Linked DNA regions of Drosophila melanogaster. Changing the gene in region 3 together with the main gene of any one other region gives a genetic interaction. Each region holds a gene or a part of one and is shown on either strand. Other genes may lie near its edges.

The links.
Region 1: of Or83c (region 3) and Snmp1, changing one suppresses a phenotype caused by changing the other (phenotypic suppression), as found in Drosophila melanogaster (one study listed by BioGRID).
Region 2: of Or83c (region 3) and ATP8B, changing one enhances a phenotype caused by changing the other (phenotypic enhancement), as found in Drosophila melanogaster (one study listed by BioGRID).

The regions. Positions count from the first base shown.
Region 1 is NT_033777.3:21,162,794-21,171,254, reverse strand, and holds Snmp1 (sensory neuron membrane protein 1), read left to right. Parts: upstream 1-3,049; 5' UTR 3,050-3,126; coding exon 3,127-3,237; intron 3,238-3,297; coding exon 3,298-3,455; intron 3,456-3,521; coding exon 3,522-3,669; intron 3,670-4,114; coding exon 4,115-4,369; intron 4,370-4,437; coding exon 4,438-4,944; intron 4,945-5,004; coding exon 5,005-5,183; intron 5,184-5,243; coding exon 5,244-5,541; 3' UTR 5,542-6,088; downstream 6,089-8,461. Other genes in the region: CG5810 (uncharacterized protein), read right to left, coding at 6,179-7,465. UniProt on the Drosophila melanogaster protein: Plays an olfactory role that is not restricted to pheromone sensitivity. Has a role in detection and signal transduction of the fatty-acid-derived male pheromone 11-cis vaccenyl acetate (cVA). Not required for sensitivity to general odorants.
Region 2 is NT_033777.3:12,075,806-12,083,415, reverse strand, and holds the start of ATP8B (ATPase 8B), read left to right. Parts: upstream 1-3,487; 5' UTR 3,488-3,735; intron 3,736-5,879; 5' UTR 5,880-5,939; coding exon 5,940-6,510; intron 6,511-6,673; coding exon 6,674-6,732; intron 6,733-6,829; coding exon 6,830-7,042; intron 7,043-7,100; coding exon 7,101-7,610.
Region 3 is NT_033777.3:6,074,334-6,080,847, reverse strand, and holds Or83c (odorant receptor 83c), read left to right. Parts: upstream 1-2,564; coding exon 2,565-3,122; intron 3,123-3,199; coding exon 3,200-3,438; intron 3,439-3,525; coding exon 3,526-3,715; intron 3,716-3,781; coding exon 3,782-3,937; intron 3,938-3,993; coding exon 3,994-4,044; downstream 4,045-6,514. UniProt on the Drosophila melanogaster protein: Odorant receptor which mediates acceptance or avoidance behavior, depending on its substrates. The odorant receptor repertoire encodes a large collection of odor stimuli that vary widely in identity, intensity, and duration.

The DNA.
Region 1 (8,461 bases), about 15 Mb from region 3:
CATCGACTACGAGCGATTCATTAAACGCTGTCAGGCGGAACATAATTGATATTCCATTCAATCGTCGTAGGGAGTGAGAACCAAGTAAGTGGGCTGGCTGGACATTTAGAAAGCAAATCCCACAAGGTTAAAGACATTTCCGCCCCAAGACAAGAGCTCCAACTCCATGGCAAATGCGTTGGAAAATTAGCACTGCACAATGCCAGTTGTGGAATCAAGTGGGTGGGAGTATCGTGGGATTTCGCAGCTTCCTGCTAATTGCAAACTTTTGCACTTTCAAGTTGCCGCCAATTACAACTCATTTGCGGAGCTATAAACTTATGGATTTTGCCATGTGTGTAGAAGGGGACTCTAAATTGGAGCACTTTGGCACTTTGGAATGCTTAAAGAAATTAATTTGATTAAGATAATATGCTAAGTTTCTACTTTAAATAGTTTTAAAAATGAATAATAAACACAGAAGACTTAGCAAATTACCGCACTAAAATCGCTCTTTTTTATCGCAAATCAAAGTTGTTTTCAATGAATAAGATAGTTTTTAATAAAGAAGTTAATTTATTTAATTAAGAATGTCTATTTAATGCGTACTTCAAAAAATGTAAATCCCAAGAATACCATTTATACCCAACCCAAAACATTGATATTGTCATAGAGTTGTCACAAAAAATGATTATCATAATCAAATTATTCTATATTACTGCCCATTAAAGTTGTTGTTGAACGATTAAGGCAGTTTTCCATGAGAACAACATGTTTGCAACGCTTGGCAGTTTAATATGATTATTAATCAACCAACGACATCGGTTATGACAACGTATTTTCAGAAAACAATTTAAGGTTACGTACTTAAGACAAATTGCATTGCTGTAAAATGAACTGTAACTATAAAGATAAAAGCATCACGCTTGTCAAAATATTTGAAGACTTCATCAAGATAGCCCATAAATGAAAATGTTTAGACAGGATAATTTATTTAAATAGTATATGCTATGAACATGGAACCAAATCGATCAATATATATAGGACTATATATTGGCTTTGAAAAGCGTACTTTGGACACTCATTTGTCGTCTTCAAGTCCAAGAAGTATGTACCCAGACCAGGATTACCTCAATCTTAAGCCCCTTGAGCACTTAGGCATTTTCAAAACTATTTGGGCCAGCAATAATTGGTAGCAAACGAAATTGAGAATTTCCTCTTTCGCCTCCAGTTCGAACATAATCAAATTGTTGGCTACGCTGGCACTTCATTTTCAATTTTAATTTACATTCGCTCAGCAGAAAATCGAAGAAACCTGGTCGAACATACTGAAACTTATGGCAAAGTATCTGTATCTAAACGATCGGCTGCCGTTGTCAAGCGCGCTTCAATTTCCACTCGCGTCTCGCCGCAACTCGCTTTTCTGTGTCATTTTCCACTGGCGAGCTGGAGAGGTTCTGTCTGTCTGTCTGTCTGTCTGTCTTACATATATGTATGTATGTTTCTCGACTCAAGTCAACTCAACGCAACTCGAGTCGATGGCGCAGTCACGTGTTTTGGGTTTTGGCATTGTTTAAGTTGTTTCTCTGTCTGTAGTTTTCTTGTTTGTTTTTTTCATTTTTTTTTTGTTTTGTGCCATTGTTATGCATTATGTTTTGCACTCGGTTTCAGTTTCGATTTCTGTTTGTGTCAACAAACGACCAACTGAAAGGGGCGTTGCCGAGCCCAGTTAGCCGGTCAAGGTGGCAGAGCATCTAACTTAAATGGATTTATTGGCTAATTGAAGAATGCTTTACGCACTACAAATATTCAGATTACAAGGCAACGAAAATATTTCAGATTTGATGGATACTTAGATACTTCATAGATATTGAGACCAGAGTCTGGAAACTGTGTATACAATCATTCACTGTAAAAACAAGGTTTAAGTTGCATGAACATCATTAAAAAAGAGTATTTACTAGATTTACTTATGAAGAAGTATTTTACTCGATGCTTACGCCTAAAATGTATCTTTTAAGGTTTTGACAGTGAAGCCATAATAAAAATGGATACTAGCATTATTTAACGCCTTATGTCTTTACAAAACTCAACTGCTTCTAATTTTAGAATAGGATAACCTTATAGCAAATAAGTTATAAATTACTTTGAAAATTTAAAATAAAATAAATCCAGAAAATACAATTTTCCAAAATATAATAGAAATATTTGCTCTTCTCACTCAAGCTAATATCAAACCTCGCGAGTCTGGCTTACTCTTTCCCTAATTAGCCATCAACACTTGCATTGGTTCTCCTTGAAATTGGAAAACGTAATTGCCGCAATTAGGGAAGAAAAGTTTCCAAGGAAAGGTAACAAGTGCTAATAGTGGAATATAGGCCAGGTGTCGCATAAGTCATTTCGAAATTCAATTACAGAAGTATAGAAATAAGTTCTACAAGTCCAAGTGCATAACGTTTAGGTAGGTGATAGTAGGTTCTTTGGGTAGCTAATGCGTATCTATGGGTTATGTATGGTGTTTGCTAATATCAATTTCAAAACCAAAATGGGTTACACTTTTATAGAAGTGGTTGCAAATTATAGAAAAACTGAGGATATTCCTTTACTTCCCCCTAAAGAAAGGCAATTAAACGATCTTGTTTATATTCCTAGTCCAAACTTGTTGGTACATCAAATGCATTTCAATGCATTTTGGCCCATTTGGGCTATGCGAACAATTAAGTCTGATTGAAATATAGGTGTACGATCAAAACGACTTGATGACGAGGGTCCAGATGAACAAAAGCCAGTTATACCGCATTCGTGCGTCCGACTATGGCCGAAACTGCGTGGAGTGTAGAGCGTAAAGTGGAAACAATTTATAATACTCAAATACATGCAATTATTGATTTTATAAGTAATGCCGTGTTATCTGATTGTTTTGCCATCCGGCCTGCCGCCTCCTCAACCGCAAATGCTGCTGCTATGGCTGAGTGAAAAATATTCGCACGTTCCGTCCGATTTGAGGAGGGGATTCCGGACTTCAGTGTGGAGACGATTCAGTTGCGTCGCGACTGTGAAAGCCTCTGGTCTTCAGCTCGAAGGAGGCAATCGGATTGAAAGGATTTCCGTGCACGAATCGAGTAGAGATCGAAACATTGCCCAGAGATGCAAGTACCTCGGGTTAAGCTGCTCATGGGGTCGGGAGCCATGTTCGTGTTTGCCATCATCTATGGCTGGGTTATCTTTCCCAAAATTCTCAAGTTTATGATATCGAAGGTGGGATCGATGAGGGAGTTATACCCGGCTTAAATCTTATAATAGCTTCCCACCCAATAGCAAGTAACTTTAAAGCCCGGATCGGATGTTCGGGAACTCTGGTCCAATACTCCATTCCCACTGCATTTCTATATCTACGTTTTCAACGTAACCAATCCGGATGAGGTATCCGAAGGAGCTAAGCCACGGCTACAGGAAGTGGGTCCCTTCGTTTTCGAGTGGGTTTCTATATATTGGATTGTGTAGGATAGCAAGTAACTAACACTGTTTCTCCCTGCTTTGAGTGAGTGGAAGGACAAGTATGATTTGGAGGATGATGTCGTAGAGGACACGGTCAGCTTCACCATGAGGAACACGTTCATTTTCAACCCGAAGGAGTCGCTGCCACTTACGGGCGAGGAGGAGATTATTTTGCCGCATCCCATAATGCTGGTAATTATTAAATGGTTTAGTTCATATTTTTTGAAACTATACAAGTTTCCAAACATTTTCGTTAAATCAATCATATTCTTCCATTTCTTCATATAAAATTCAATCCCATACCCTGCTATACCTTACTAAAAATGGTTAGTAAATTTAAAATCAACACTCACTGCATCAGCGACTTTATGGCAAACGTTGGGAATTAGAGATTCTAGTCAGAGCTATGGAAAACTGCACTTAAGGCGCCAGCTAATGACCACGTGGCCCATTGTTAGCCATGTGAATTATGCAAATCGCATTCCCAGCCCCAAAATAGCAGCCACAAAATTAACCCATTAAGAGTGATAGAAATGGATTTCAGAATGGCGTCTTTTGTGTTCTGTAATTCTAAGCTGAATTTAGTCTGCGATTTATTGGCGGCGATTATATGTTTTTCCCTTTCCAATTTTTACAGCCTGGCGGCATTTCGGTTCAAAGGGAAAAGGCTGCCATGATGGAGCTGGTTTCCAAAGGATTAAGCATTGTCTTTCCGGATGCCAAAGCCTTTTTGAAAGCTAAATTTATGGATTTATTTTTCCGCGGCATCAACGTAGATTGCTCCTCGGAAGAATTCTCCGCAAAGGCGCTCTGCACCGTGTTTTACACGGGAGAAATTAAGCAGGCCAAACAAGTCAATCAAACTCACTTTTTGTTCTCGTTTATGGGTCAGGTGAGTTCTTAATACTGCCAATTAATACTACTTAAGTGACTGAAATTTCAATTAACATCGAAAAACAGGCCAATCACTCGGATTCTGGCAGATTCACTGTCTGTCGCGGAGTGAAAAATAACAAAAAGCTTGGAAAGGTAGTGAAATTCGCCGACGAACCGGAGCAAGACATTTGGCCAGATGGCGAGTGCAACACCTTTGTGGGCACTGATTCTACGGTCTTTGCACCGGGCTTGAAAAAGGAGGATGGCCTGTGGGCATTCACGCCGGATTTGTGTAGATCCCTGGGCGCTTATTATCAGCACAAGTCATCCTACCATGGCATGCCATCGATGAGATACACCCTGGATTTGGGGGATATACGTGCCGATGAGAAGCTTCATTGTTTCTGCGAAGATCCCGAAGATCTGGACACGTGTCCGCCCAAGGGCACTATGAATCTGGCGGCCTGTGTTGGTGGTCCATTGATGGCATCAATGCCTCATTTCTATCTGGGCGATCCAAAGCTGGTTGCCGACGTTGATGGTCTCAATCCGAATGAAAAGGATCATGCGGTCTACATAGACTTTGAACTTGTAAGCAAGCAATTTGAGTAATGAATATACATGCATATTATCTATTTCTACTCCCTTCAGATGTCTGGAACACCTTTTCAGGCTGCCAAGCGTTTGCAGTTTAATCTGGACATGGAGCCAGTGGAGGGCATTGAACCCATGAAGAATCTACCCAAGCTGATATTGCCCATGTTTTGGGTGGAGGAGGGCGTGCAGTTGAACAAGACCTACACGAACTTAGTGAAATACACACTATTTCTGTAAGTTGGAATCTACATTGTTAAGAGAAATTATATAACATATTTTAATTATCTTTTTAGGGGCCTAAAAATCAACTCAGTCCTGCGCTGGTCCCTCATTACTTTCTCCCTGGTGGGCCTGATGTTTTCCGCCTATCTTTTCTACCACAAATCCGACAGTTTGGACATAAACAGCATCCTCAAGGATAACAACAAGGTAGACGACGTGGCCAGCACAAAGGAGCCCTTGCCTTCAGCAAATCCAAAGCAATCTTCTACTGTGCACCCTGTTCAGTTGCCCAATACTCTGATTCCCGGCACGAATCCCGCTACCAATCCAGCTACCCATCACAAAATGGAGCATCGGGAGCGCTACTAATACCCCAAATGGCATTCTCCAGCGATCTCTGCACCATAGTCGTAGTCCACTGCACCTGTGTAGTCCAATATGAGCTAATCAACTGAGACAGATCTAAGCACATTCGTCTGGGAAACTGGTCGCTGGCCAATGGAGTGATCGCTAATCGATGACCACTGATCGCAGATGACAAGATCTGTGCGCTCCACTGACACCGATCATCGTGGATTCAGTAATAAAAAATAAAAAAACGCAGAAGTTCAGAAGTTCGAGTTCAGCGATCACAAGAGTCGGTGAATTGACAAATCGTTTTTAAACAATGGCTGCAATGTTTGCAAACCGAAAACAATTGCGGAGACAGGCGGAAAAGTTGAAGTGAAAATATCTCAACTTGTATAGCGTTGATTAATGATTTGTAAACAGTATGCAAAAATTACACTTTTTTAATTAATTTTAATGAAGACGAATTATAAGTACTTGTTCTGTTGGCCCCTTAAAGTGAAGTGTTTGTAGTTGTAAATGTAAAATCAAACAAAGAGGGGGCAAATAAATGGTATTTATTTGGCTTAATTTATGCAGTTTCATTTATATAATATTTTCTCATTAGTATAAATAAGTAGGAATTTTAATACTATTTCCCATTTAATAGATTATTTTTCTATGCCATTCCACATCTCATTGGCCCTCGAGGATCTCCAACTAATCTATCTTCCAAAATGGTTGTGTCCTTAGGCAGTTCGACGAACTCCAACAGATCCGCCAACTGGCCGCAATTGAGTTCCGCTTCCTCGACAAAGAAATCCTCATCCAGATCCTTGATAAAGATCTCCTTTCCCTTCTCGTGACTTATCTCCAAGTAGTTGAGATCCTTCAGATGGGGCAACATGTCCATGTGATTCGAAGTCAAGTTGTCGTAGGTAAAACTCAATCTTTCCAATCCCTTGGCTGAGGTAATTTTGGGTAAATCCGCGAGATTTACAATGTCCGTTACATCCAAGTCAACGAGCTTACTGGCCTTGGACAGAAAGTCAAGTCTATACAGATTGGTATTGGCCAAGTAAAGATGCTCCAGATCCTGGGGCTGCGAAATCTTCAACTCATGCAGCTTTGGGTTTGCCTCCAATTGGACACCAATCACTCGACCATCCAACTCCACTGACTCGAGATCACAATTGGTGGCCTCCAGCTCATTGATTTTAGCTGATAGATGGAGTCTTCTGAGTTGAGGATTAAACGAGAGCGAGAGATGATCTATTTCACGAAATATATTGAAAGGAATCCGCACTAGTTGATTACTTTGGGCTGAGAATTCTGACAAATGTTTCCGCTGATCCCGGAAAAGTTCACCAGGCAGTTCCACTAGCTGATTACTGTCCACATTGATGGATTTAAGCGATCCCAGTTGTGAGAAGATGTGCTGGGATAAAGTGATTAACCGATTGTTGGATAAGTTGATCTTCTGAAGGTTCTTCAGGGGTCGAAATATGGTGGTGGGCAGATCCTCCAATTGATTGTCCGATAAGTTGAGTTCCTCCAGTTGAGTGGCCAATTCAAAAGTGTTGCTATCCAAAACTCGCAGGGCATTACCTCCAAAATTCAATCTTTTCAAGTTCTTGGCACCATCAAAACATACACTTTCAATTTGCTGAAGCTCACACTCCAATACATGGAATTCCACAAGTTGAGGAAGGTTCAAAAAGATTTTTCTCGGCAAATTGGCCAAATCGGAGCTGTGAAGAACGAGAGTTTCGTACTTTCTCAAATGTTTAGTCACATTTTCTGAGAAGTAGGCAACTGCTGAAGCAGAAGGGTATTTCAAATTCGTGCACGTATTTTCGCGGCAATCCAAACTATCAATTGCAATTTCCTCGAGTTTTTGTGACTCACAAGTCGCAAAAGCAATCACAGCGATTAAAATATAGTTCAGATAGTTTAGCATCCGCATCTTGGCTTTAAAAGACTGAGCAATTTTTGGCTTGGGGGGCATTTTAATACAAAACCAGAACACAACCTTCAGAAACCAGCCAAAAAAAAAAACAAAAAAAAGCGAAAACAGGTCTTTAGGCGCTAGTTTGTTTGTTTGTTTTTCTGTCGACCCCCTCCACAATCTGGTTCGATTTTTTGTCAATAAAATTTTATTGTTCCTCTCAATGAATATATTTGCTTTGTTTTTGCTTCTACGATTCGCTGGGAAATATTATCAGGCTTTTGTCATAATACCCGGCCGATAAGCACGATCTCGCGATCCTCCACTTCATAACACATACTCGTAGTTATGGTTTATAGTTTATGGCCCAGTTGTGCCAACTGATATGGAATGGCTGCTGTTTTGTGGACGATGTATTGCCATTGCAAAAGTAAGCCAATGTATGGCTACATTACGTCTGGCCTGTCGCTCTGATAATCATGGGAATTGTTTACAGCAGTTAATTGAGATTAATATCTTTTGATGGACTAAGGACTGCATATGGTTTCGATTGAAACTTTAACTATCTTAACTATCTTCACTTTCTTAGCTTGATTTCTTATCTTTAAAGCGAATAATGTATTTCCCCGCATTTGCTGCATCTAATTAAGCTATAAATATGTTCATAAAATCAGTCTACACTGATATAAACTAACTTGTTTCGTAGCAAAAAATTGGATATTATTTATAAAGCCATAGTTATTGAAAGCATTTCCGCCTTAGAACAAATTTACAAAAGCACTTGGACATAAACTTGCCAATTTGAATGGCAATTAGCTCATTTTCCAGTTATATCACCATCTAGTTGCGTCATCATTGCAGTCAGATGGGTGGAACAACCTTTGGATATCCTGAGCATTTAGCGTTCGAATGACCAATAAACCCAATGAAATAAATCAAGTGCCATAAACCGACGGCGCCATATAAAAGCACCCACAATAGAGGCGTAAAATGGTGCGCTATATGTTCTGATTT
Region 2 (7,610 bases), 6.0 Mb from region 3:
GGTCGCAAATGAATTATGAAATATTACAAAAGCATTTCGACGAAAGCCCACCTACAAGTGCAATTAATGCATGTTACATTACGTATCCGCCGTGTGGCATAGCTGTGCTAGCTGATATAACCGCCAAGGACGTGATCCTAGGAGGGCGTATTTGCTTTTAATAGCGGTTACACCACAATGGACAGCTGTTAATGTATACATCAGACCCCCGGCCACTGTAAATCAGCTCATTCGTGTGACAATTAGCATGTGAACGCATCAAAATTTAAATAGACCAGTCAAGACCAAGCCCAAGTTTATTTGTTTGGGGAAACTTTTCCTCCAGCTGGGCACCAGACAATCCTTTCCCATATCCAACCGTGAATAGTGGCCAATGGATCGACCTTCTGGGTCACCAGCTGACACCATTTAAAAAGCTTTACGAGCGCCATTAAAAATTCAACAGTGAAATCTAGAAAAAGCAAAACTTTTCCCCTGATGACGAATCATTTGAATGCTTACTGAATCCACACATTCCCATTCCCCCTCTTCCAGGCAGCCTTCGGCGGCTCGACAAGGCCGCCATATGGAGGAGGTTGGCGTCCGCTCGGTCCAATCAGTCCGCTCAGCCACGACGACACTCGAAACCGAGCTGCTGGCCAACCGGTCCCAGTCCCAGTCGCAGTCCCATTCGCAGTCGGAGCCGGAACCGCTGTCGGAACCGGAGTCAAGCAGCCCCGGATGCCGCCAGCCGCGTGAATCCTGCTGGCCTTATCAGATCAGATAGAAACCCGCCGAGGACACACATCCACGAGAGACACACTCATAATGGGCACAAAAACCCAACCACAATTGGCCAAAGGTGAGTGGAAGAGAGAAAGTTAAGTAGGTCCGAAATGCTATCAAGTGGTCACTTTTCATGGCGATGAATATCAAGCTTATATTGAAAATAGAAATTGGCGTAAATTAAATTGTTTAAAATGGCACACATTTAGCTAATAAAGATCTATTCTATAAAAACGTTAATATAAGATATTTCAAAATAAATCTGAGCCAACGCCATGCGAATTGTATTTTAAAGGAGAGTTGTGCTGTTATTACATTATTTATTAGAAATATATCCGATTATTTAACTCTAAAGAAAAATAATAAACATAGGAAATGCAGTATAAGATTTTTGTTAGGTGAGGTCAGGTACGCCCCTTCTTATCGTTTGCTGGATTTTTTTAATACTTGGTCATCCCCAATTCTATGATAAATGCAGACCCATATCTGTATTGGTAGATTTACCTTTGATACTAACAATTAAAACAAAATTAATGCGTTCAGCGATAGAACAAAACTCGACTTACGAATCAATAACCAGTATAAGCACGATGTCCGCTACAAATTGATTTTGCTCAAAGCCTTTGGCATTTCAGATTGGGAAATCTCGCTGCCTCGGGCAGCCAAAAAGTTGAACAGTTGTTACTGATTTCGGCCAGATAGTGACCCAGTTCTTTGGCGTTACTAAACCAATTGCAGGGAGAGACGACGCGGAACTCTGACAAAAAGCAGCCCGTTGCTCGATTTTGGCCCTGACACTATTCCGCAAAGGTACCGTTAGCCAATGGCCCAAACATGTGCATGTGTATGTGTGTTTGTATATGCGGGGGAGTCGAAGTGTGTATGTGTAAGTGCGTGAGTGCCTTGAGCTTGGTCAAAACGGCACTTCGATTTATTAGGCGCCTTGTTTCGGCCGCTCAATGAATGAAGTGAATGAATGCGAATTATTCCGATTCATGAGTAGGGGTGGGTACTTGTTGACTTGTAAGTGTGTGCACATAACTTTGTGTAATACACTAGTCAGCAAAATGTAGAATATGTCGTCATTTAAACACTTCATTCAGATAATTACAAAAAATATAATTTAAATTGCGGTGTATATGTGCGGTCGAATTAGTTTTTATACAAAATGATCAAAGATACAAACTAACCTTTTGATGTGAAACTAATCCAAGAGTGTCGAATCAGGAAAATTTGTAAAAATTTTTTATTGACTTGAGACAAGTGTCTTGACGACCCACCCAGCTTTAAAGTTGCCAAGTGAAGTTTGTGACCCTTAAACTCAATTTTGTTAAAGTTGTTTTACAAATAAAACAAATTGAGAAACTGCAAGGCGCCACAACTTATTTCTAACGAAAACGAAAGTAGGGAATGTTCAAGTAATATTGAACTATTTATAACTATAATGTTTGCAATTGCTTTTGATAATAATAAGACTATGTACTTATGTTCATATGTATGTTGTACATGAGCGACACGTAAAGTCTTCAAAGAATTCTGGGAATGCGAATCTGTGCCCACAATAACCGCAAAATAAACTTACACAATCCATCCTTTCGAAATTCATTATTTAATAGGAACTTGAATAATATGTACATTCAGCGTTTGGCGCTTCGCTGATTAAGTTTGCCTTGTTCCGAAAAAAAAAACGTAATGCAATGTGTACGGGGTGTGATTACCATTTCCCGCCCCCGGCAATCATTCATTAACCCATATGCGCCACTTCTTCAAGCGCCAATAATGTGCTTTTTTTGTTTTGACATTGACATTGCTGCTTTTTTGAATGAAAAGAGAGTAAGAGAGAGCACGCTTTCTCTTGCTTGTTCAATTCACGTGACAGAGCGAGGAAGAGCACCTCCAATTTGTTTGTCGACTCACTCGTTCTCTTTCAATTTGTTCCCTTGTTTTTTTTTCTTAGGGTGACTTACGAAATTTGCTCATTTTTATGCTTGACAAACTTGGGAAATTGTTGACAGATTTTTTGCCGCAACGAACGCGGTAATACTCTTTCGATTATCAATAATAAGTGATTAATTTGTAATATATATTTTGTTAAATTATTCTTTATTAGTATTAATATAAAAAAAATTAAAAAATCGTAGGATTAAATAAAATTATTAATACAGAATATAAACATTTTTAAATATATACGGCTCTATTTCCAACACCGCAAAACCATTAGGGTGGACCCTGATAGCATAATCGTTTATGTGAATATTACTCATACGACCCATAAGCCCATCAAAATACTTCAGCGATTGCACTGCGACCCTAAGGCAATCGATCAAGTCAGCTCGGGTCCCATTACTAGAGCTTTTTAAAAGATTTCTACGTTTCACGTTAATCCTCTTTTCAAAAAGCCAATTCTGAGAGTGGAAATTATCACCTATTGTGCTTTGAACCTTTGAACCACAGATCACTTGAGTTGGAATGATAAACTTTGGATATCGAAGCTTTTCCATAGCTCTCTTTTAAGACAAGCTGGTTTTAACCGTTTGCGCTTGAAGGTGTGCGTGAATCGGTTGCCAAGTCCGGTTGCCTTGGCAGCGCAGTCGGCAATTTGTTGTCATCGTTTTACTCGCATTTCGCTCAGCTGACGGCGTCGCAGTCGCCGTCGCTGTCGCCGTCTCGGTCGCCGTCGCCCATTTTGGCCGCAGTTTGCGCGCGGCAGTTGGCCATTTGGCTTTGGCGTTAGCCGTTTTTGTTTATCGCACTGCGGACCGCGTAGCACTTCGCGTTGCCTTGGGCCAATTAAGTGGAATATAACTCCCTGCTTTGCGAAAAACTCAAGTTGCAGTTTTAAAATAAGGTGTTTCCGCGTTTTCACAAAAAAATACGAGGAAAACTAATAAAAGGCAAAAAAAAATAAGCAACAAATGGAAAAATCAAACGCAAGCGGTGCAAAATAAGTGCAAGAAATGTGCTAAAAATGTACGAAGCTGGGTGGTTGGAGGAGAAGGAGGAGGAGGAGGAGCGATATAGGGGTAGAAGGGGAAGGGCCGAAGAGAGATCATGATGATGCATTTGGCACCTGGCACCGAAAACATGTTCCTCATTTGCCTCTGTTTTGTTGTGCTTTCTTTGCTCCCAGCATAATTATTGAGCATTCATCGATTCTTTTGGCCTTTTCTTGTAGTTAATTTGTTTTCACCCCTGCCCCTTGCAAACCCATCAAAGGTGACGCATGCGAGCGAAGGAAAAGCGAACAGCAAAAACAACTCAAGAAGGCGAAACAAATTGAGAGCAAGGAGCAAATTTACATTCACATGCATGACTCATGTTCGCAGCAGGATATCGTCGTTAAGGAGAGCGGAAGAGTGCATGGGAAAAGAGGGGGAGAGAGAGCGCGACAGAGCTTACCCGGCATTGTTGTTGCTACACAGGGAAAAAAGATAATATTAATATTAATATTATTTTAAAGGTTAAATGGAGATACATAAGTACTTAGATAAATATATGTTAAATTAATAAAAATGGGCTTCAAATAAAACCAGCCCAGAATACCTTATTCATACCACTCCAATTTCCTTAGTGTAGTTGAGAGAGTCCGCTTGGGAGAGGCATACAAAATAATGTGAGAGCGCCAATCAGCTGTAATTCGAAAACGGGCGGAAGTGGGGCCAAATTTTTTGCCGATTGCCTTTATTATCCTTAGCAAAGAGACAAAAACTTTGGACAGAACTTTTCGTCTCAGATTCAATTTCCGTTCTCCCTTACCGTTATGCCTTTCATATCCACCTTTTGCATGCATTCGCCGTGGCCTTGACAACAGTTTTGACATTGACACCCGCCTGCTTTCCACAATTATGAAAGGCAAGAGAGAGTAAAAAGAGCGAACTTTAGTTTGCTGCAGCTTCCTTTTCTTTGTTGCCCAAATAAAGGCCACTTGTTGAATGTGTAAAATGCTTACACACACGCACACACACTCACCCAGTAGAAGCTTTGTGACGCCAGAGCGACTTGCTTACTGCAGATTTGCTCAATCGAGCATAAGGCTGTAAAGTAAACATAAAGTAGTACACATGTCTGCGTATATTTGTAGTCGACTGCTCAACCATAATGCACCCAGATGTACTCACATGAAAATTCCGAGAAAATTCCAAGAAAGCAAGGTGAAAATGTTTGGCATGGATACTGGCAGTAAATACAGTGCGTGCTTTATAAAATGAACCATTAAAAGCAACGGCAAGGGAACCAGAAAGGCGATTCTTGAAAAGTTTTTTCTTGCAACTTAATATTGCCCCAATGATGATATCAAGCTTATGCTTATTATCAAGAACATTCAGATACTTTTCAAAGTTTTTTTAAATTGAAATCTTTCATACACCAGACCGTACAGCAACCAGTATAATTAAAAACCACTGAAAAGCAATTCCAAATTAATTACCAGTTTTTGTTACAATCGGTTTGTTTGAGTTTCAAATTAAAATCTCACACAATAAATAATTATTGTAAGAACTTTTAATTGAACTGCACCACAGCTATTGAACTATATTTGCCTTGTGGAGAACAAAAAAGGAATGACGGGGCATCAGCCAGTTTAGGACAACCTACAATGCTTTTTGGAAGCCAATCAAAAATTTTATTGATATAAATTGTGGGCTTAAAGGGTAAACTGTGTTTATGTTTAAGAAAAATCGATAGAACTATGAGAGCCTATTTATTTGGAATATTGTAACGCGAGTAAATTTTCCTTAATTGCTTTAAAATGTGGGTGTACATATATTTCGTGACGCATTCAGTCCCAAACTCAGTCCTAGTTAAAAATCTCAACAAGTATTTGATATACCCTTTGAAGACGATTCCCCCTGGGTATCCGAGAATCACAGAAGAAATTTGTTTATTTATTTATTGCCCAGACATATGCGTGCAAACACTCAATGTGTGAGGAGAATCGTTTCCAGCTGTCTGGGGCTCTTTGTCAATGGGAGGGGTAGCAGTCTATCAAAATGATGGATGGAACAGTCTTATTGAGCCAGCCCTCCAGGGAAGTTTGTTCGGTGCCGATGGGTTTTCAATTGCATTTTAATCTTTCGGGAGTTAGCAACACGTTAAACTTTCGATTTTCCTCGTAGAATGAAGAGTAATGCGGACGCCCCATATCGTTATTGTTCCACCTATAGCCTAAGCTGGTCATGATCGGGGGCAGGAGATGCAGCGAGGCCGCCCGGCGGCTAAGGAGGCGTCCTGACACTCTGGAACTTTCAGTTCTGGGGGGCCAACCTATCGAAACTGAACTCCAGGAGGACAATGAGCGGACCCCAACAAAGGGAGCCGGAAATGTGGATGAGCCCGGAATAGAAGCTCCTGAAGCTTCGTGCTCTGCGCCCAGCAAAAGAACCCGATGGTTTCAGTTCGCCAGGAGCTCCAAAAATCGAAGGAAACGATTGCACTGTAATGAAGATGAGGATGTTAAGCAGCCGGAAAGAAGGAATTCCGATTTGGAGGGCAGTCCGAGGGCTTGCCTCGCTCAACCGGAGGGCATGAATATAGGCAGCTCTACGCAAACCATTGCCACACCCCTAATGATAGGAGATAGCTTCTACAGCTTGGCGCCGGGAGGAGGCAATCCACCACCCAACAAATCCGATGACCAGGAACTGTATAAGCAGAGAGATCCTTCCGTGACCTCGGAGTCAAAGTCCGTGCCAAGTTTGAGACGTCTTTCCCAGATTAGAAGGCGTCGCAGCTCGTACTATTTTTCGGGTAAAAAGAGATTAAGAATGGAAAATAACTTTAAGGAAAAAATTGTTTGGAAGAGTATAGTTATTTGTAGTATAGAAAACTGTAATTAGGATTATTAATCATATATTAACCACATTATGTTTATTAAAAAATCCTAGCTAAGATATTATTTTTATATTCACAGAAAACGAACGTAGAATTCGAGCCAACGATAAAGAGTTCAATGCCCAGTTCAAATATCATGTAAGTAAATACAATATTAACCGTTCATCTAGAATGCACACTAAATAAAGTTTTTCTATTTGTTTAACTATTATTTATAATCCGCATTAATTTACAGAACAACTACATCAAGACCTCCAAGTATTCGCTGTTCACGTTTCTGCCATTCAATCTGCTGGAGCAATTTCAGCGGCTGGCCAACTTCTATTTCCTCTGCCTGCTGGTCCTCCAGCTGATACCCGCGATATCCTCACTCACCCCAGTGACCACAGCAATTCCCCTGATAGGAGTACTTACTCTGACGGCTGTTAAGGATGCGTATGATGATATTGTGAGTACAAAATACTACGCTGTAACTTCATAATTGCCAATCTGTATTTTCCTTTCAGCAACGTCATATTTCTGACTCGCAGGTAAACAATCGCAAGTCGAAAACGCTGCGCAATGGCAAGTTGGTGGAGGCCAAGTGGTCGGAGGTACAGGTGGGCGATGTCATTCGGCTGGACAACAATCAGTTCGTGGCCGCCGACACCCTGTTGCTGTCCACATCCGAGCCAAATGGTCTGTGTTTCATCGAGACAGCCGAACTGGATGGGGAGACGAATCTCAAGGCAAAGCAATGCCTGACCGAAACCATCGAGCTGGGTGATCGCCATGACTCGCTATGGAACTTCAATGGCGAGATCATTTGCGAGCGGCCCAACAACCTGCTGAACAAATTCGATGGCACCTTGATTTGGCGGGGCCAGAGATTCGCCCTGGACAACGAGAAGATCCTGCTGAGGGGCTGCGTCCTCCGGAACACGCAGTGGTGCTATGGCGTGGTGGTCTTCGCCGGAGTGGACACCAAGTTGATGCAGAACTCCGGAAAGACGCAGTTCAAGAGCACTGGCGTGGAT
Region 3 (6,514 bases):
CCATCTATCAATGTGTGTATCTGGGCACCAGTAGCAAGGACACTTAAAGATATTGCCCCGACTGGGTCGTCGTGCTGCATATTAGTCGGCAGCTTAAAGCGTTCGACTGATTGATTATGTATCATCGAGAGGCAGTGGGACACTGGGCAAAGGCCACTCGCTTTAAGGCTTTAAGCCGCCCATTAGGGTTATTAAATATGCCGCTTTGTGGGTGTACGCTCGTATGCGGGCTATTAGGAATGATAATGGATTGCGAATATTAATTTCTTTGCATGATGGAAAGAATCAACAAAGAACAATGCGTTTAATCTTTATAGACACGCAGCCGCAGGAGAGGGTCGGACAATGCCTTGTGCCAATAATGATAACCGGAAGCCATTAAAGGAAGTTTCAATACAAGAAACACTCTCCCACGCACACACACACACACGCACGCTCTCACACAAACGCATGAATGCCTCTATAGGCAGCTTAAGGCTCTGCACTTTCCTTTTTGTGTTTTGCACTGCGCGAAAAACTAGGACTTACGACGGGGACCATTGAAAAGTAATTTTTAAACATATTTAATCATACGTATCAATTAACATAAACTTGTGTGAAATTATAGATTTTAATTGCTCTTAAACAAAATAAACAACTTCTTAGGAAAATATTTATTCCCTCTAAATAACGTACCCCGATTCCCATCCATTTCTTCCGTGCAGTAGTGGCTGTAGTTGGGCCTGTTGTTTGCCTTCCATTTCCATTGCATCGTCGGCGGCAACGGCGATATTGTAATTTTTATTCCTCTTTGTGCCATTCAGGCGGCAAGCAGCAAAGGCGAATCCTGCGAAAGGAAGCCGTCCTGCAAGTCGAGCGTTCAATTCCCTTTCAATAAGGAAGTGGATGTGGAAGCAAGTAGGTGTGGGTGTGTGTGTGGCACCGCACACGCACCTTGCAATCTTGCTAATGTTTTTCCAGAGAGCGCGTCTTAAGAGCCACCTGCAGTTAGCAGTTTGCAGTTTGAGCTCCGCAAACAGCCGTCGGGTCGATGCGGAAGTCAGGCTAGAAATCCGACCCTGGCTTAGGTCACACCACCATGATGCCACGCCATGCCACCGCGCCAGGGGCATAATGCAGGCCGTCAGGCAGACAAGTTGAGGCGCCAAGTTTTCGGGAAATCGGGGGGCGGGCACGACGTCGACCATCAATGGCACACACTCGCATTTTCAATTGATTAAACATCAAACGCCCAGGCATGGGTTTGAGTATGTATAGCCTGCATTTTTTACGTGCCGCAGCGCAAAAATGCCAGGGAATATTATCCGAGAGCATTATGTTGATGCCGATATATACTCGCACAATATGAAATTCCATTGCATTTTATAGGCAGGCAGCCAAGGAAAACAAAAAACATAGGAGGAAACGTAAGAAGTACAAAGTCGAGTATTGCGACTATGGGATACCAAGTTATTAATTTTATATTTTAAACATATGTTGCATACCTAAGTGCGTTTCTGTTGATGCGAAACCGCTTACCTTTTCGAGCTTATAAGTTCATATTTGTGTTCTATATCTTTTCAAGTTTATGTGTATGCCAAAACTCAGCATACCCCTGTAAGGGGTTCAGAAATCAAACACACACACAGGCAGAAACACAATGGAAGGCAGTAAAAACCTGCGGCAGGCCATTGTGAGGCATAAACAAAAGATGCAGCAGATGGAAGGTGGAGCTGCTGGATCGGCCAGAATAACAAAATACCGCAGACAAAAACCGAAATCTGTTCGAGCGTGGAAAAGGTGAGTTGCCAAACCACTCTCCATTCCCCCTGCCGACTTACACATTCTCAGGCCCAAGTACAAGTGGGTAGTTTTAGTTGGGATCAGCCTTTAGAAATGTGGCAAAGCAAAATTTATAGCTTGGAAATTAATAACAAAAAGCACACAATGAACTAGTGCATATATACCCGCCAGGCCATCCAAAGGGCTCTGAATAATAACGTTCCGCACTCTGAAGTGTATTAGACAACAGTGCGTATGATGAATGCCATCGGAGGACTTTCGAAACAAAAGGGGATTAATTGTATGCGAAAGGTGGCCACCTTCCCACCCACTAATACGGGGGGAAACAAAGGGATAGGGAATTTTATTGTGTTAATTCTGCGGTTTCCTTACTTCGGCAGAACACTTTTAAAATTCCCCAATGTGCAGTAATTATGAGCATGCAAACAATGTGAATTTCCTAGGCATGAGGATATCTTTAAAGCATTAAGTTATTGAGCTCCTTAACGCATTAGAATGAAGAACATCGAACATACATTTTAAGGAACCTAGTATAACCTTATATAGAAGGAAAGCAGATACATTAATTCACTCTGAATCAAGAATAGGTACATATGTATGTTCCCAGATGGACAACTCAAATCTTGTAATTTCACAAAGCAAATAGTACAACAATTAAAGTAGATAATGACAAAATTACTTGCAACTTATGATAATTGCAGTGACATTTGCAGTCCCGCTGTGAAAACAAATGTTTTCGTATAAAAGGGGAAAAACTGGAGGATTAATTCAGTTCCATCACAATGAGTACTTCTGAAAGTCCTTCAAGTCGCTTTCGCGAACTATCCAAGTACATCAATAGTTTGACTAATTTACTTGGCGTGGATTTTCTTTCGCCCAAATTGAAATTTAATTATCGCACCTGGACCACGATCTTTGCAATCGCCAACTATACTGGCTTCACGGTATTTACTATACTAAATAATGGCGGTGACTGGAGGGTGGGACTGAAGGCCAGTCTTATGACTGGTGGGCTATTCCACGGACTCGGGAAGTTCCTGACTTGTCTGCTGAAGCATCAAGACATGAGACGTCTGGTCCTTTACTCACAAAGCATTTACGATGAATACGAGACTCGGGGAGATTCCTACCACAGGACCTTGAATTCGAACATAGATCGACTCCTCGGCATCATGAAGATCATTCGAAACGGATATGTATTCGCTTTTTGTTTGATGGAACTCCTGCCATTGGCCATGCTAATGTACGATGGAACCCGGGTTACTGCGATGCAGTATTTAATTCCGGGTCTACCGCTTGAGAACAATTATTGCTACGTAGTCACGTACATGATTCAGACGGTAGGAGCCACTAAAGCTGTTGAGATTCTGTCAACACTTCCTCCCTCTCCTAACCAAGTTATTTTCGTCGATTGCAGGTGACAATGCTCGTGCAAGGAGTCGGATTCTACTCCGGTGATTTGTTCGTATTTCTCGGCTTAACGCAGATCCTAACTTTCGCCGATATGCTGCAGGTGAAGGTGAAAGAGCTAAACGATGCCCTGGAACAAAAAGCGGAATACAGAGCTCTAGTCCGAGTTGGAGCTTCTATTGATGGAGCGGAAAATCGTCAACGCCTTCTCTTGGATGTTATAAGATGGCATCAATTATTCACGGAGTAAGAAACACTTAATTTCTCCTTTTAAAAAATAAATAAAATCAAAAAGGAACGGCTTATCATATGTCATTTCTCCCATACATTTAGCTACTGTCGCGCCATAAATGCCCTCTACTACGAATTGATCGCCACTCAGGTTCTTTCGATGGCTTTGGCCATGATGCTCAGCTTCTGCATTAATTTGAGCAGCTTTCACATGCCTTCGGCTATCTTTTTCGTGGTTTCTGCCTACAGCATGTCCATCTATTGCATTCTGGGCACCATTCTTGAGTTTGCAGTGAGCTTTAGTAAAATTAAGTCTATGAGCACTTAGTTCTTACGCATTCTTATTTGTCTTCAACAGTATGACCAGGTGTACGAGAGCATCTGTAATGTGACCTGGTATGAGTTGAGTGGCGAACAGCGAAAGCTTTTTGGTTTTTTGTTGCGGGAATCCCAGTATCCGCACAATATTCAGATACTTGGAGTTATGTCGCTTTCCGTGAGAACGGCTCTGCAGGTGAGTAAGTGGGCTTTTAGTTTATAATACCACATTGGATTTTCGTATACTTTTAGATTGTTAAACTAATTTATAGCGTATCCATGATGATGATGAATCGGGCGTAGAAGACAGAGAACACTAAAAAAAAAAAAATCTGACACGCATTACACAATATCTTGATACACAATAATTCTAAAGAGATATGCGAGTTTTTAGATTCGTTGAACAGTATGCATGCAGTATAGAAAGTATTTTTTCTCAATCAGGACCATTAGCTAGTGGGAATTACAAAAGCTAGTTTATGCACTCAGACGCACCCACGTAGTTCAAATTTGATTCAGAAATTGCCACGCCCACCAATCGCCTATACTATTACTATTAAAACTTTTGGTTAATCCAAATGTTAGCCCGGAATCAGCTTACAAATTTTATTCAGCCAACTTTGAAATGCTCTTCTCCCACTTTGCTCCTGATGAACTCGTCGTCGGGATTTTTTCTGCTGCCATTAACCTTGGCCACTAATTACCAACACACAGAGCTGAATTTATGGCATCGGTTTATGGAGCCCCGACTCGAAAACATTAATTGTGCGTCTCATTAAGGGGAGTTTCTTATGCACAAAACATTTAATACATTTCGCATACACGCATAAAAATTTAATTTATTTTGAAATGGTGCGTTCACTTCCCCGATATTTGGCCGGCGGACATTAATAGCTCCTGACCAGGCCATGAATAATGGGCATTTTATAAATGTGGTCGGGACAATGGCCCGGATGCTTGGATAAAAAATAATAACAATAATTGTAACGTCGTTATAATGCAGTCGTAATTAAGTACACCGTTGTTGTACGGACCTTCCGCCACCCAGCGACTATAAAAACGAAATGATTTTAATAAAATCAACAGTCGAAAGGACAGAAAGGACCAGAGCAACAGTTTGGTCAGCGGACTCATCGACCTCTTGGATTCAGATTTACGACCGCTTCGCATTCCATAATTTACTCATTTTTCATGCGCTATTTAATTACGCTAAATTATGGCCGCAAAGGGTTGAGCGGTTGTTTGTTTATGGCCAGTATAACACTCAAAAGTAGAGGTGATGCTGTACATCATTTGGATACAAATACAAACAGGCCTAAAATCAAAGGCTTTAAAACCCAATACAAAGAAGGCGGAATACTGGAGGCGAGTATTGTATTGACTATCTGATATCTGTTACGACGGAGACGGGGAAGGATATTTCAAAGCAATACAATCCTGTTTACGACTCTTAAAATGTAGAGGCATGCTTAAACTAATATAAGGGTGGAAACTTACATTTATGGAACGTACAACAAATAGGGATATTTTAGTAAATGGGTTAATAGCCCAACTTAAGCTGGCTGGAATTTACCTTTGGACCAAAGGTTTAGTACAGTTTTTGAAGAAATACAAAAATAATCACAAAATATCGATATAGGGCTCTTCATCTCGATAAATCGAAAAAGTTTCGCACTCTGTCCCATCCAGTTCCGCTCCAAGTAATGCAATTTGCTCGCTTGTTGGCTGGCAGATAACAAAACTCATTTACAGCCTGTCCACCGCAATGACGCTGAATCGTGAAATCGTGGAGCCGGTGGGGAGTGGCAGTGGCAAGTGGGGCCACTCGACACTCGGATGGAGGCTCTTAGCGTCAAGACACTTTGTATCAAATGCAGCGACGCCGACAGACAGCCAGCCAGCCTGCCATGCAATACATTTTCTAATGCTTGTTTTGAATCATATTTAGGAGCGGACCAGGTGGAAGGGGAGGCAAGGCGGGCAAGGCGGCCAGGTCGCCAGCTGGCAAATAAAATAAATTAGTTGCAGTTGAAAGGTGGCTCAGACACAAAAGTCAACACGCAACGCGCGATGGAACCGCAAACAAACGCCAGCTGCTGGGCGCAGATAAAGTGGCAGGCAAACATGCCCAAGGAGCAGGACGAAGGATGGAGGATGGTGGATTGGGGACTGAGGACGGCGGACGGCGGACACCGGAGGTGGGAGTTGAGATGGAGAAGCTCTAGACGCGCTGGAAGGACCTATGGCAAATCAGCTGCCAGCGCAGCGCAGCTTACTGGCAAATATTAAAATGCGAATTTTTATACTCACTGACACTCGAGCTTCCCACTTTGCCGGCCCAACTATCCCATCCTCACCCTGGAAGCATAATTCTTACTATGCAAAATGAGGGGAATGTGCTCTGTTCGCTACAGAGAAAGAGCTAAACCGATATTATTGGTTCCTCTCGTATTCGATCAAATCGAGGGATATAATTCAATGTCCTTAATGCTTATTTTAAATAATAAATACTAAAATACATTCCACTTTTTGATTTAAAGAACTTTATATGTTATTTTACTTGTTCGAAGCAGCAGAAATATACATTTAGATAATTTTCTCTATTCAAATAAACTAGTTATAGTTTATTACTCGAATCGATGAGTAACAAATATTAAAATTATTTGCCGTGTTTCGGCTGTTGGCTGTTGGCTCCTCGCTCGAGGCTCCTGACTCCTGGCTCGCAGGATGGCGTATCCTTTCGCCAGCATTTTCTTGCCGCGTGCGCACATAA